2 linked regions of the Caenorhabditis elegans genome follow. The protein of the gene in region 1 purifies or fractionates together with the protein of each later gene. This does not show direct contact. Each region holds a gene or a part of one and is shown on either strand. Other genes may lie near its edges.

The links.
Region 2: the proteins of pie-1 (region 1) and let-418 purify together in Caenorhabditis elegans (affinity purification with western blotting, with the first as the bait; one study listed by BioGRID). This does not show direct contact.

What each region holds. Positions count from the first base shown.
Region 1 is NC_003281.10:12,424,906-12,429,703, reverse strand, and holds pie-1 (Pharynx and intestine in excess protein 1), read right to left. Parts: upstream 2,812-4,798; coding exon 2,527-2,811; intron 2,474-2,526; coding exon 2,366-2,473; intron 2,323-2,365; coding exon 2,197-2,322; intron 1,162-2,196; coding exon 1,073-1,161; intron 1,017-1,072; coding exon 617-1,016; 3' UTR 509-616; downstream 1-508. Other genes in the region: snr-6 (putative small nuclear ribonucleoprotein E), read left to right, coding at 90-145, 193-409. UniProt on the Caenorhabditis elegans protein: Maternally provided pie-1 is required for germline cell fate determination. Functions as a repressor of RNA polymerase II-dependent gene expression in the developing germline. Required for expression of nos-2 in P4 germline blastomere cells.
Region 2 is NC_003283.11:5,824,930-5,832,859, reverse strand, and holds let-418 (Protein let-418), read right to left. Parts: upstream 6,028-7,930; 5' UTR 6,000-6,027; coding exon 5,670-5,999; intron 5,601-5,669; coding exon 4,608-5,600; intron 4,560-4,607; coding exon 3,481-4,559; intron 3,430-3,480; coding exon 2,100-3,429; intron 2,029-2,099; coding exon 683-2,028; intron 632-682; coding exon 360-631; intron 306-359; coding exon 166-305; 3' UTR 29-165; downstream 1-28. UniProt on the Caenorhabditis elegans protein: Part of a NuRD (Nucleosome Remodeling and Deacetylase) complex which is implicated in the synMuv B pathway that negatively regulates specification of vulval cell fate.

The sequences.
Region 1 (4,798 bases):
AGCTGCTAAAATCGAGTTTTCTTGATATTTATCTTAAAAATTTGTGTCTTTCAAAAAATATATTGATTTTTACAGATCATCCCGCAAAAATGTCGACGAGAAAGCTCAACAAAGTGATGGTTCAGCCTGTGAACCTCATCTTCAGGTAATATTTTTTCACTAATCAGTAGAAAACAATTTCCCAAATTTCAGATATCTCCAAAACCGCACTCGGGTCCAAATCTGGTTGTACGAGGATGTCACCCACCGTCTCGAGGGCTACATCATCGGATTCGACGAGTTCATGAATGTCGTGTTCGACGAAGCCGAGGAGGTGAACATGAAGACGAAGGGACGCAACAAGATCGGCAGAATTCTTCTCAAAGGAGACAACATCACTCTCATCCACGCCGCCCAACAAGAAGCCTAAATCATCGTTCACTTTTCACGGATCTCTTTGTTCATTTTTCTGTCTCTGTTTCGCTTTCGCACCGTATTGTTCCAAGTTTTCAAGTTTTAATATGTCTTTAAAAAAAGTAAATTATTTTTGGCTTTTTTGGCACAAGTTCATTCACAGGACAAAGAGAGGGGGTGAGTGGATAAATATACAAAACAAAATATGGAAAATACGGCAAAATTAGGAAATAATAGTTGGTGGTGGCTGAGAGAAGAATCCATCGGGGAACACTTCAAACGCACCGCCCGTGGCATTCGGATCAATAGTCACATCCATCATGGGCATGCCATTCGAATTAATTGGTTGATAGTAGTATGTCGGTGCCATTGGTGCATACATTGGCTGGCTATTCATCAAATCATGTTGCTGTGGAATATATTGCACTGGAAAAGGAGCTCCTTGTTGAGCTTGCGGCGGTGGAGCCAAGAAATATGGCATTGGAAATGGCAGGAATTGTTGCTGATGTTGTGGATGATGATGGTAGTAGGCAATCGGCGGCGGACAATCGGAAGAAGGTGGCGCGTAAACCGTCGCATTCGCATTGAAATGTTGCATTTGTTCGACGTGAATGAAGCGGCATCTGAAAGGAAAATTTATTTTATTTATTTTTAATAAAAATTCCAGATTTCCTAGAACCTTGGACCATATCTGCAGTTTCCTCTCTCGAAATTGTGACAAATCTGACGACGATTCGAGCTTCCGTGGTTGTTGCTGGGTCTCCGATTCTGGAAGTAAAATATTGTAATATTTTCCCTAAATTTCACTTAAAAATAAGGATTTTTGCAACGTAAAACCTCAAAAATTCGCTGAAATTGACGATTTTTGTTCAAAATTTTGAAAAACAGGGTTAATTTTAGCTGAAAATCTTCAATTTTGCCAGAAATTGGCTTTTTTTCCGTCGCCACACGGAGAACTTGCCAAAAATGAAGACTTTTAGCCAATTTAGCCCTGAAAATTCGAGTTTTGGGCGATTTTTGGTCTGAGAAGCCGTTTTCGCAGTATATTATATTTTCTCGTTAAATTTCATTTTAAAATAAACATTTTGAACGTATAACCCCAAAAATTCGCTGCGCAATGGATGATTTTTGTCCAAAGTTTTGATAATTTTAGCTAAAAACCTCGAATTTTGGCAATTTTTCGTGCCGCATCGGCCGAAAGTTGACTTTTTTTGGAATTATCATAATTTAATGCACATTTTGGTAGTTTATCTCACATAATCTGTCTGCAGGCGGGAAAAATTTGAGATAAACTACTAAAAGATGCAAAACAAGGATGATAATTCCAGAAAATCAACTTCGGACCGTCTCGACACGGAAAATTGAGCGAAATTGGAGTTTTAAAATGATTTAGCCCTGAAAATTCGAGAAATTTAGGCGGTTTTGGGTCTGAAAAGGCGTTTTCGCAGTATTTTCTCGCTAAATTTCATTTATTATCACATAATATCAGTACTTAGGCGAATATCTTGTAGAAATGTTGGTTTTGTTCGATAATTCTCTACTTTTAGAGTCGATTCACGAGAAAATGTTGCACCATCTTACTTTTTTCCCTTGTAAAACATAGATTCTTCTGTACAATGAAAGAGAACACAATTTCTTCGTGAAGCAACTCAAAAAGTAGAGAAAATTCGAACAAAACCCAACATTTCTACAAGATATTCGTCTAAATAGTGATATAATGTGTTAATAAGCATATTTTAAATGAAATTTAGCGAAAAAACTGCGAAAATTTGTCAAAAAAGCGAATTTCCATCCGATCAGCACCTCATCATGATGCTTCGATGCTGAAGAACTCGATCGATTGATTGTTGTATCCACGTCGTCTCGTCTAGAACGAGAATCACGGCGCTCACGTGGTGGATCTCGGGAATAATACTCTTGGCGGCGTCTCTGAAAAAAAAATTTTCCAAAGATTTCCAGGCTTCAGACACACCGGAACTCTCAGCTCATCTTGTCCGTGAGCATATGTGCAATTGTCGTTGTACGGGCAGTATCCTTCACGGCGGAACGCATCACAAAGTCGCGTTTTGTATTCTGTGTGCTGGAAAAAAAATCGATTTTGCATATTTTTCAGTTTTTTTTTTAAATCAAAACCTTATCCTTCGCCGAGCTATGTCTTTTAGTTGCCGGCGCCTCGTCAATCTGAGCCAATGGAGTGATCTTGAGCGCTTCACGCTTTGGACGAAGCCATTTTCCACTATATCCGGACGACAGCGAATCATTGAATGATCGATTGATTTTCCGTTGATCTACTGAATTTTGAATTCTCGCCGGGCACGTCGCATTCAGAAGACTGTTCGATCGATCGGCAGCGAACGACGTGTCATCTGAGTTGTTGAGTGCAGCCATTTGCTCGGCAATCGGCTTTGTTTGAGCCATCTGGAAAAGAAAATTTGATTTTTAATTGTTTGGGAAACGAAATACTGCAAAAAGAAACCTAAAAAGTGATTGTAAAACTGAAAAAACGGCGAGAAATCCATTTTTGCCGCCGAATTTGGTTACGGTTGGTTTAAAGGCGCATGCCTAAAGTTTTATTTTCGTTGCGGGACTCACAGATTTTTAAAAACTTTTTCTTTATTTTTTGAAGATTTCTGTGTTTTTTCACTGATTATTTACAAACAAAGCTCAATTTTATGAAAGCTTTCAATGTTAAAAAATAAAATTATATTTAATTGAGAAGTGCTCCGTGCTGAATTTGGGGGCAAAAACTCAATTTATAGCGATTTTTATATAATTTCTTATAAAATAAAATTTTTTCAGATGTTTTGCAAACGAATTACTGCGAAAAGAAACGTGAAAAGTGATTTTAAAACTGAAAAAACAGCGAGAAATCTTTTTTTGCCTCCGAATTTGGTTACGGTTGGTTTAAAGGCGCATGCCTCAAGTTGTGCTTTCGTTGCGATACTCACAGATTTTTAAAAAAACCTTTTTTGATTTTTTGTTTGAGTTTTTCAACTTTTTCAAGCATTTTTCTCGATTTTTGATACATTTTTTGCTTTCAAATCCAATTTTAAAGCTATTTTTCCGATATTTTCATGTTTTTCACGCTATTTTCGATTCAAATGTGTCTTTTAATCGTTTTCCGTACGCTGAAGGTCATTTCTGTTGTCCTCACCAAACATTAAAATTACAAATAGTATCTCCCAAGCAAAAACGTTAAAAATCGCTTTAATTTTGATGAAAATTTTCCAGTATTTCCCAAATTTCGAACAAATTTTTTTTTCAGCAAAAAAGATTTTTCGGAATTTTTTTCTGAAATTTCCCAGATTTTCCAGTAGTTCACCCTTTTTCTCCAATGTACTCGTACTCCAAGTACATAAATATGTCGATTTTCTCTTCCATATCACTTTATGTGGCGTAAAGAATACAAAAAAACCGGTTTTTCACCTCCAAAATCGGGCTATATTCTGTGTGAATATACAAAGAGAAACAGCTTTTACATATGTCTTTTGACGCCATTTTTTCTCGATTTTATTTAAAGGTGGAAATTGCTTTAAAACATGCCTATGGGGACACAATGACCGAATATCATGATAAAAAAATTCAAAAAAATTGTCTAGATGTTATATGATTTTTTGAAAATTGAAAAAATCTCAGTTTTCACCTAATTATATTTGAATTACCGCCAATTGAACTCGTTGGTTGGAGCGCGCTTGCATTATTTTCATTAGTTATTTGAATTAATTTTCATTATTTCACTGATTTTCTTCATTTTTGGGGTTTTTTAATCGGAAAATGAAAGAAATATACAAGAAAAATGCAAAATCTTTATTAAAAAGTAACTGAAAATGCCTAAAACTCCGAGAAATACTAATTTCAGTTTTTAATAAACATTTTGCATTTTTCTTGTATATTTCTTTCATTTCCCGATAAAAAAAACCTCAAAAATGAAGAAAATCAGTGAAATAATGAAAATTAATAAAATTAATTAATGAAAATAATGCAAGCGCGCTCCAACGAACGAGTTCAATTGGCGGTAATTCAAATATAATTAGGTGAAAACTGAGATTTTTTCAATTTTCAAAAAATCATATAAAATCTAGAAATTGTTTTTGAATTTTTTTATTATGATATTCGGTCATTGTGGTATTACGGGAACATAAAATTCTGAGAATGCGTATTTCACAACATATTTGGCGCGCAAAGTATCTCGTAGCGAAAACTACAATAATCCTTAAATGACTACTGTAGCGAATGTGTCGATTTACGGGCTCGATTCTTGGAAAAATCCACGTTTTTCGAATTTTGACAGCGATACTCAATTTCTCTTCGTGTTTTCCTATTCCTTTGTCATTTTTGTGTTTATTTTTTAATATTTTACCTATTAATAAATTAATTTGATTTAAAAACGTCCAATATTCGTGTC
Region 2 (7,930 bases), on another chromosome or scaffold:
TGAACAAGTTAAGACGAAAAGATCAGGATTAAACGTTTACACAGATTCATGACGCAATTATTTGAATTGCATTTCAATTGATGCAACTAAAAAGAGAACAATAAATAATATAATGGTTTAAAGTTTGAAAAAATACAGTAAAACCCAATAAAATTAAAAAGACATTCAAGTTTCCATTGGTTCTGGCTCATCTGTTGGAGCTTGATCTTCGGCGGAAGCTGGTTCGGCGTCGGCAGCTGTTTCAGAACTGACAGCAGCAGCAGCGGAAGTAGATGGAACATCGTTGCTATCGTCGGAATTCACTTCTGGAAATAGAAATACATTGAGTTATTTTAAGATCCATATGAATTAGTACTAACCTGCACTAAGAACTGGCGGAGCTTCGGCGCTATCTTGAGTCTCATCATCTGGTTCTTGTTTTACACCTTCTTCCTCTTCTGCCTCTACTGGTTCATCCTCTTCCATCCTTTCTCCATTTTCAGACATGAATTTACTGTAAAGAGCTGCAAACTTTGGTTGAATGCCATCCATCTGCTGGCGAAGTATTGGAGTTACAAATGGTCCTGGTGGTGGAAGTACGCTACGGTTGGCTATCGCGTCCTCGTCTTTTGTGGTCAGTCGCGAAAGAATTCTGAAATATATATACATATATTGACTGAAGCTTTTACGAGTTAAAACTTACTGTCTCTCGGTCATGTTGAGACGTTCGGTGACAGTCGCTAACTGTGTAAAAGTAGATGGAAGTCTAGACACGTCGGCCTTCATATCGGAAAGTATTTCGTCGAGCTGAACCAATGTTTTGTGTAGAACGGCATTCGCATTACGATTTCCAGCAGAACTTTCTTTGGCGATATTAGCTTGAGATTCAGCAATATTCTCTAAATCCGCAAAACGTTGAGCCAATGGTCCAACATTATCCGGCTGCAAGTGACGATTGGCGTGTGCAGCGCGACGAAGTTGCTCCTCAATCACAAGGGACTGTTCAATAAGTTTGAAACGACGTTGCATAAACTTGGCTTTGATGTCAGATCCTGTTGCCTCAGCGCCAACTTCCTTGAATGGCTCATTGAGAACTGAGAATCTGGGATCATTGATGATGTCATTGAAATTAGCTTGGAAACGTCCATATCCGTGTACAACAACACCAGCTAAAAGCCAATAGTCGTGTCTGCGGTACCAGATTTCATATTCTTTTCCGTTTCTTGCAACTTTCTCTTCATTGGCCCACAAAGAGTGAAGTTCAGTGAATCCACCGTCACAAATGTTGAACTTGAATGATGGACGGGCTGCTCTTGGTTTCTCGGTTTCAATTGGTTCTTCTTTCGGTTCTTTGGCTTCATCTGTATCCATTGGTTCGTCAACAGGAGCGTTTTGTTCACTCTCAGCATCTGTAGCTGGCTCTGATGTAGCTCCGTTAACTGTTTCAGTAGCATCTTCCTTTTCCATTGGTTCTTCCTTCGGCTCTTCTTTTGGTTTCGGAGTACTTCTTGAAGATCCTTGTGCCGAACCATTGGCAGCTTTAGCGAGAACTTCGTCTTGTATTTCAGGCATAGACCATTGGCCATTATATTGCTCAAATTCTTGAACCTTCCGCCGAACTAAACTCAGCAATCCGATTCGGCCAAGAACATGCTGACGATTAAGACCTTCTCTTGGAACTCCATCATTAAAGGTATCATGACCATCAGCTCCAGGCTCACAGAGATGTCGCATGAACAGTGAAGCATAAGCTCGGAAGACTTTTTCCGATTTGTTTCTCAGATCTCGAACAAGCCATTGAGATTGATGAGAATCTTGTGGAGGCATTCCCCAGCGCATAACAGCCCCGTAGAACGCCTTGCGTTGACGTGGATTGAAACCAAGAATCTCAACTTGTCCATTGACTTTAGCCATGAGTGGAGGCATTTTTTCTTCATCACGACGCCGCTTTTTCTTCTCATCGTAATCATCTTCATCAGAGTTCAGGCCGTCGCCATTGTCCGAACCACGGTACGACTCGTTATCATCGTCATCATCTTGGGTTTGGTTCTGAAAAAAATCATTAAATGTTTAATCAGAAATTAATCAGAAAAACCCAATTAATCAGAAAAAAAACAAACCTGCTTGCTCCAATCAGTTCCCATATTCTCACTGGCATAGTTGATTTGTTTGCGAACACGTTTTCCCTTTCCAAGCTTTTGCAATTCGATTTCCCTGTCCTGTTCGTAGTGATGCTTGAGCAGCTTCTCCCAATAATCTGGATCTGGTTCTTTCTCATCTTCTTTAATCACTTCCGTTTCCTCTTCCTCCTCTTCTTCTTGTCCTTCAGTCTCTTTTGTCTGATAGCTGGCCACCTTGAACGAGCTTAGATATTCGTTTTGCCATTCAGCTTTTTCTTCGCCATCTTCTCCTGCTGGAGTCTCTTCTTTGTTACTGCGATCGAGAAGAGCATCTACAGCTGCATCATCCCAAACAATTTCTTGTGCGGCAGCACCTTTCTTCTCCGAGCCTTCGCCTTCGGCAGCATCAAGATCCTCACTGAATAACTCTTCGGTTCCCCATCGAAGCACATCGTCCAGCTCAGTCTTGCTCATTGTCTTTCCTTCTTTTCCTCCCAATCCTGCACGTACAACCAAGTGATTCAAAAGCATCTTCTTCTTGGCAACTGAAGTGATTTTTTCTTCGACAGATTTCTTTGTTACAAAACGATAAATCATAACTTTATGCTTCTGTCCGAGACGATGTGCACGAGAGAAAGCTTGAATATCATTGTGAGGATTCCAATCAGAATCATATATGATAACCGTATCAGCAGTTGCCAGATTGATACCAAGACCTCCAGCTCGAGTGGAGAGCAAGAAAATAAATTGTTGAGCTCCAGGAGCATTGTAACGATCGATAGCATCTTGTCTCATTTGTCCCATGATACTTCCATCTATTCTTTCATATCTGTATCCTTCATATTCACATAAATCTTCCATTATGTCCAGCATCCTTGTCATTTGTGAGAAGATAAGCACTCGGTGGCCACCATCCTTCAGCTTTCTCAACATTTTTTGAAGAAGAACAAACTTTCCGGAATTCTTGATGAGCGCCGTTCCTTCATACATTCCGTTTTTCTCTTTCGGAGCCTCCAACTCTGCCTTCACAAAAAGATATGGATGATTACAACATTTCTTCAATTCCATAAGGACGTTCATCAATGACATTTGAGTTCCTCCATTCTTCACATTCAATGCATCAAAATTGCGAGTCAGAATATTTTTATACCATTTTTTCTGCATAGCACTCAGTTCAACTCGAACAATTAATTCTGATTTCGATGGCATGCCAGTCAACACATCAGCTTTGAGACGGCGAAGCATGTGAGGTCCGAGCAAGTTATGAAGTTTTTCAATTTGATCCTCTTTGGAAATCTCATTGAATTCGGCAGTGAAAGCCTCGAGCTGACTGAAAAAATGCAATTAATAAAATAAAATACACAAAAATTCAGAAACTTACTTGAAACGTTCTTTGGACAAGAAATTGAGGAGATGGAAGAGCTCTTCTAAATTGTTTTGAAGTGGAGTTCCGGTGAGAAGTACGCGATAATGAATAGTATATTCATTGAGATTTTTGAAGAACAACGACTGATTATTCTTTAACCGATGAGCCTCATCAACAACAAGAGCTCCCCATTCAATGGAAGAAAGTATAGTTTTATCCATATTGATAGTCTCATAAGAAGTGAGCAACACGTGGAACTTCATATTCTCTGTCGTCTTCATTTTTGAAGCCTTCGGTCCGGATCGAACGGCACCTTCAACGAAAGAAAACTCATGTTCTCGGAGCACAACACGAGCATCTCTAAGACCAACATAAGTGACCACATAGAAATCAGGACACCATTGTTCAGCCTCACGCTCCCAATTGATAATAGTTGATAGAGGAGCGGCAATCAAAAATGGTCCTTTGCAATGGCCTTCCTTCATGAGACTGTATAAGAAAGTAAGCGATTGAACAGTCTTCCCAAGACCCATTTCATCAGCGAGAATCGCATCAGTTCCGTTGGACCAACAATGACGAAGCCAGTTAAGTCCTTCCAGTTGATATGGATGAAGTTTTCCTCCGGTTTCCGTAACGTAGTCGGGCTGAACTTCATATTTTTTACGGATGTCAATCTTCTCACGCTTCTTCTTTTTCTTTTCGTCTTCTTTTGGAGGAAGACCTTTAGCTTCGCGATGTTTAGCAATCATCTTCTGCACATTTTTAGGAATATCCTCATTTAATTTGCTCTCACGATGTTGCCAGTATTTAATGATTGCTTCTTCGTAATTGGCAATATTAGAATCATCTCGTTCCCAAGTGGCTTGATCATAGCTGAGCTCCTTCCACTTAACAAGGTAATCCTGCTGCGACTTTGCATATGATTGATGATTGATAATACGATGAATTTGCATCCATTCCGGTTTGATACCATACTGGTAGAACCGCTCGCGCAATTTATAAGGATCATTATCAGAATGATGACGAGACGTAACGGATTCTTCAAATTCTGGAGGAGCATCGGAATCATTTTTGCGCCAATATAGCAATATAAGCTGGAAAAATAAACATTAGTCAAATGGACTTCATCACTTAAAACTCACCATACGGAAATGAACTTCCAACAGCATTTCGGAGACCCAAGAACACTGCCAGTATGATAAATACTTCCATTTCACGAAGAATTCACGCTCACGTCTTGGTTCCATTTTCCGTGGTGGTTTGAGCATCGCATCGTCACTCGAAGCCTCTTTCCCAGCTTCGAGAGGTTCTGGATACGGGATTTCCTTCCATCTCCAGCAAAGGATTTTTTCGATTTTGTGTTCCGGCTTAACCGTCTCGCACCGTGGGCACGACCATGTTTCTTCTTTCGGAACTTCGGTAAGTGGAGGATCAATACAATATGCGTGGAATGAGCATACACAACTATCACAAAGCAGAAGATTCTCAGTTTCTTTGCAGATCTTGCAGAATTCATCGTTTTGCTTCGCCGGTTCTTCTTTAACTACTTCTGGGCCATGTTCGATACAATGAGCACAACTCCAATCACCCTCTGGTGGTTCTTCCATATTTTCATCAATACAGACTGTATGGTAAGCGCGGGGACAGGTGTCACAAAGAAGAAGTTCTCCATCTTGCTTGCACTCCTCACAGTAGTCATTATTTTCAGCTTCTTCGCCCTTTTCTAATTTTGCTTTTTTAGCGGCACGAGCAGCTTCCAATGCTCCTTTTTTCTTCTCTTCTCTTTCCGCTGCACGTTTGATACGAGCATCTTCCTTGTCTTTTACCAAATCGTCCTCCAGTTGTTCTTGTTGCTTAATAAATGCCTCAAACTCTTGATCACTATCAGGAGCATCGGAATCTCGACGCTTTCTCCTTGCAGAACGAGTCTTCGTTGGAGCTGATCGTGGAGGGATGACGGGTGTGGAAACTGCTGGAGTCTTTGAACCTCTAGCTTGTTTTTGAACAGGTTTTCCTTGGGCAGCCATGTGATCTTGATACTCTTTATATTTGACTTGGAACATCGGGTACATCTTGGATACGTTGGTTCCGGGGTTTGCCTCCAGTATTTGTGGCTTGATGATTGAGGAGAAAGTCTGTAAAAAAGATGTTTAATTGGAGGAAAACAGAAATCGAGATTTAAAAAATAAATTTTGAATAATCACCTTCAGATTAGAAATTCCTTGAAACTCCTCTTCATCATAATCAAATTCGACGTCTGTCAATCCGATAGCAGCACAAACTTCTTCACTTGTCGAATTATACGGATCAGGAATCTCAACCTTGCTAGCTGCGGCAGCACTCTTTTTGGATCCTTTTTTGCCTCCCTTTCCGCCTTTCTTTCTAGAAGAACGCTTTCGCTCAGATGGTCCAGCCTCATCGCCTTGCTCTTGTTCTTCCTCTTCTTCTGTTTCTTCAGTTGCGTCTTGAGTGACAGAACCCTCTTCCATTGATTCTTCCGCGTCCACTAAAGACGGATCTTCTTCAGTTGACATTGTTGAATTCTCAGGAGAAATACAATTTCTGAAAATTGATTAATATAAGTAAGACATAAATAATTGCAAGAAGGACATTATAAAGAGAACAAATTAGAAAGCTCGAATGCAAATCAGCAAAATTTGAAAGTGTGAAAAGTCTGCAAACACGGCGACGAAATAACACACAGAGTTGAGTGTAAATTTTGGGCTGATAGATTAAGCCTTAATTTTTTCTAAAAAACGTAGAAAATTTTGAAAATATTAAATTCCTAAAGTAGGAATTTAAATTTAAGCTCGTCAAGCTATTTTAAATTTTTTAAAATTTATTTTACAACCTACGTTTCAAGTTTTCTAAAATCTACCATCGAGAAAATGCAATTATTACAAGAAAAGTTAGAAAAAATAGCCGTATTCAAAAACATATTTCAAACAAATATTGATTCGAAACGGGACAATTTCATGTCCCCATATGTCCCATTTGACGAGACACTGCGGGGACATTGCAGAACGGGGACACAGCTCGTTGGGACGGTGGTCAGAGAAAGAGAGACGAGAGGAGAGTGATGGAAATTCGAATGACCCGTCTTCGCGCGTAAGAGTGACCAAATGCAGCGTCGTGTTTCCCGCAACGAAAATTATTAATACGTGGCATGTCCCTTTACTAATTTGAGTTGAGAATTATGTTGTTCACAGAAAATTAAAAACACGTTGGATTACGGATTAAAAAAAAAACTAGTAAATTAGATCTATTTCAGGATTCAAATCAGGTAAAAACTGTGAACCGTCCTGATAGAATTAAAATTTTGAATTAAAATTGGGAAAATTACGAGCAAATATTTATGACGATTTTAGAAATATACTTGTATACTTAGAAATATCAAATTGCGGAAATTGAGAGGAAACGCGAATCCAAAAAGCGAGCCAAAAAAAAATGAAAAAGAAAACATTTGAACAAAACGCATCTGCTGGCAATGGAGCGCACCTGCATAGCTCCCGAAAATAGGTTTCTTCTTCGGAACTTTACTAATTTTTAATTGAATCAGCATGTATATACAAATTCTTATACAAAGATATACAAATTCTTTTCAGAAACTAGGAAAACCTTAGAAAACAGGGAAAAAGCTAAAAAAAAAAGAACGGGACAGTAAACGTTAAGACGCACACACAACATTTTAAAATCAATGCACTTAGCGCGGCGAGACCCATTCGCATAAATGGACCTCCCTTGAAAGCGCAAAAGCGGAAAATGATTCAAATCGATGCACGGCAGTGAAGAAAAAGATCTAGAAGTTCAAAACACGTGTTTATGCGAGTTAAAAATAATTTAAAAGAAATAAAATGTTCATAATGTTTAAATCAAGGATAAACAAATTTACCTTGACCTTCTGAAAACGTGGCAATTTTAAATGATTGAATAACATTTAATATTTCGAATTAACAGTATAACGCTTTAGATTCGCCCTATTATAAGCTTCTAGAAATTATATCTTAACTTCTGAAAAAATTTCTCAAACTGCTAGATTTTCTACAAAATTGTAAAAGTGTAATTTGGAAAATAATGTTCGAAAACAGTGATATTACGGGAACACAGAATTTTGAGAATGCGTATTGCACAAGGCATTTGAAATAGAGCCCGTAAATCGCCATAAGAGCTACAGTAATCAGTTAAAGTGTTACTGTAGTTTTCGCTATGAGATACTTTCAAATATGTTGTGAAATACGCATTCTCAGAATTTTGTGTTGACATAATAGAGTACTCAAATGTCCAAACTTTAAAATGATATATCTGTCAACTTACCACAAATTTGGTAATTTGGCTTTTACAGAAATCGACTAATTCTGAATATTTTAAAGCAAGATCCCCAAGTTCCCAAAAACAAATTGTACAAAGGAAATATAACCAACATCATTTTCAGGCATGTGTCATCGTTTTTTACTCAAAGTTGTCA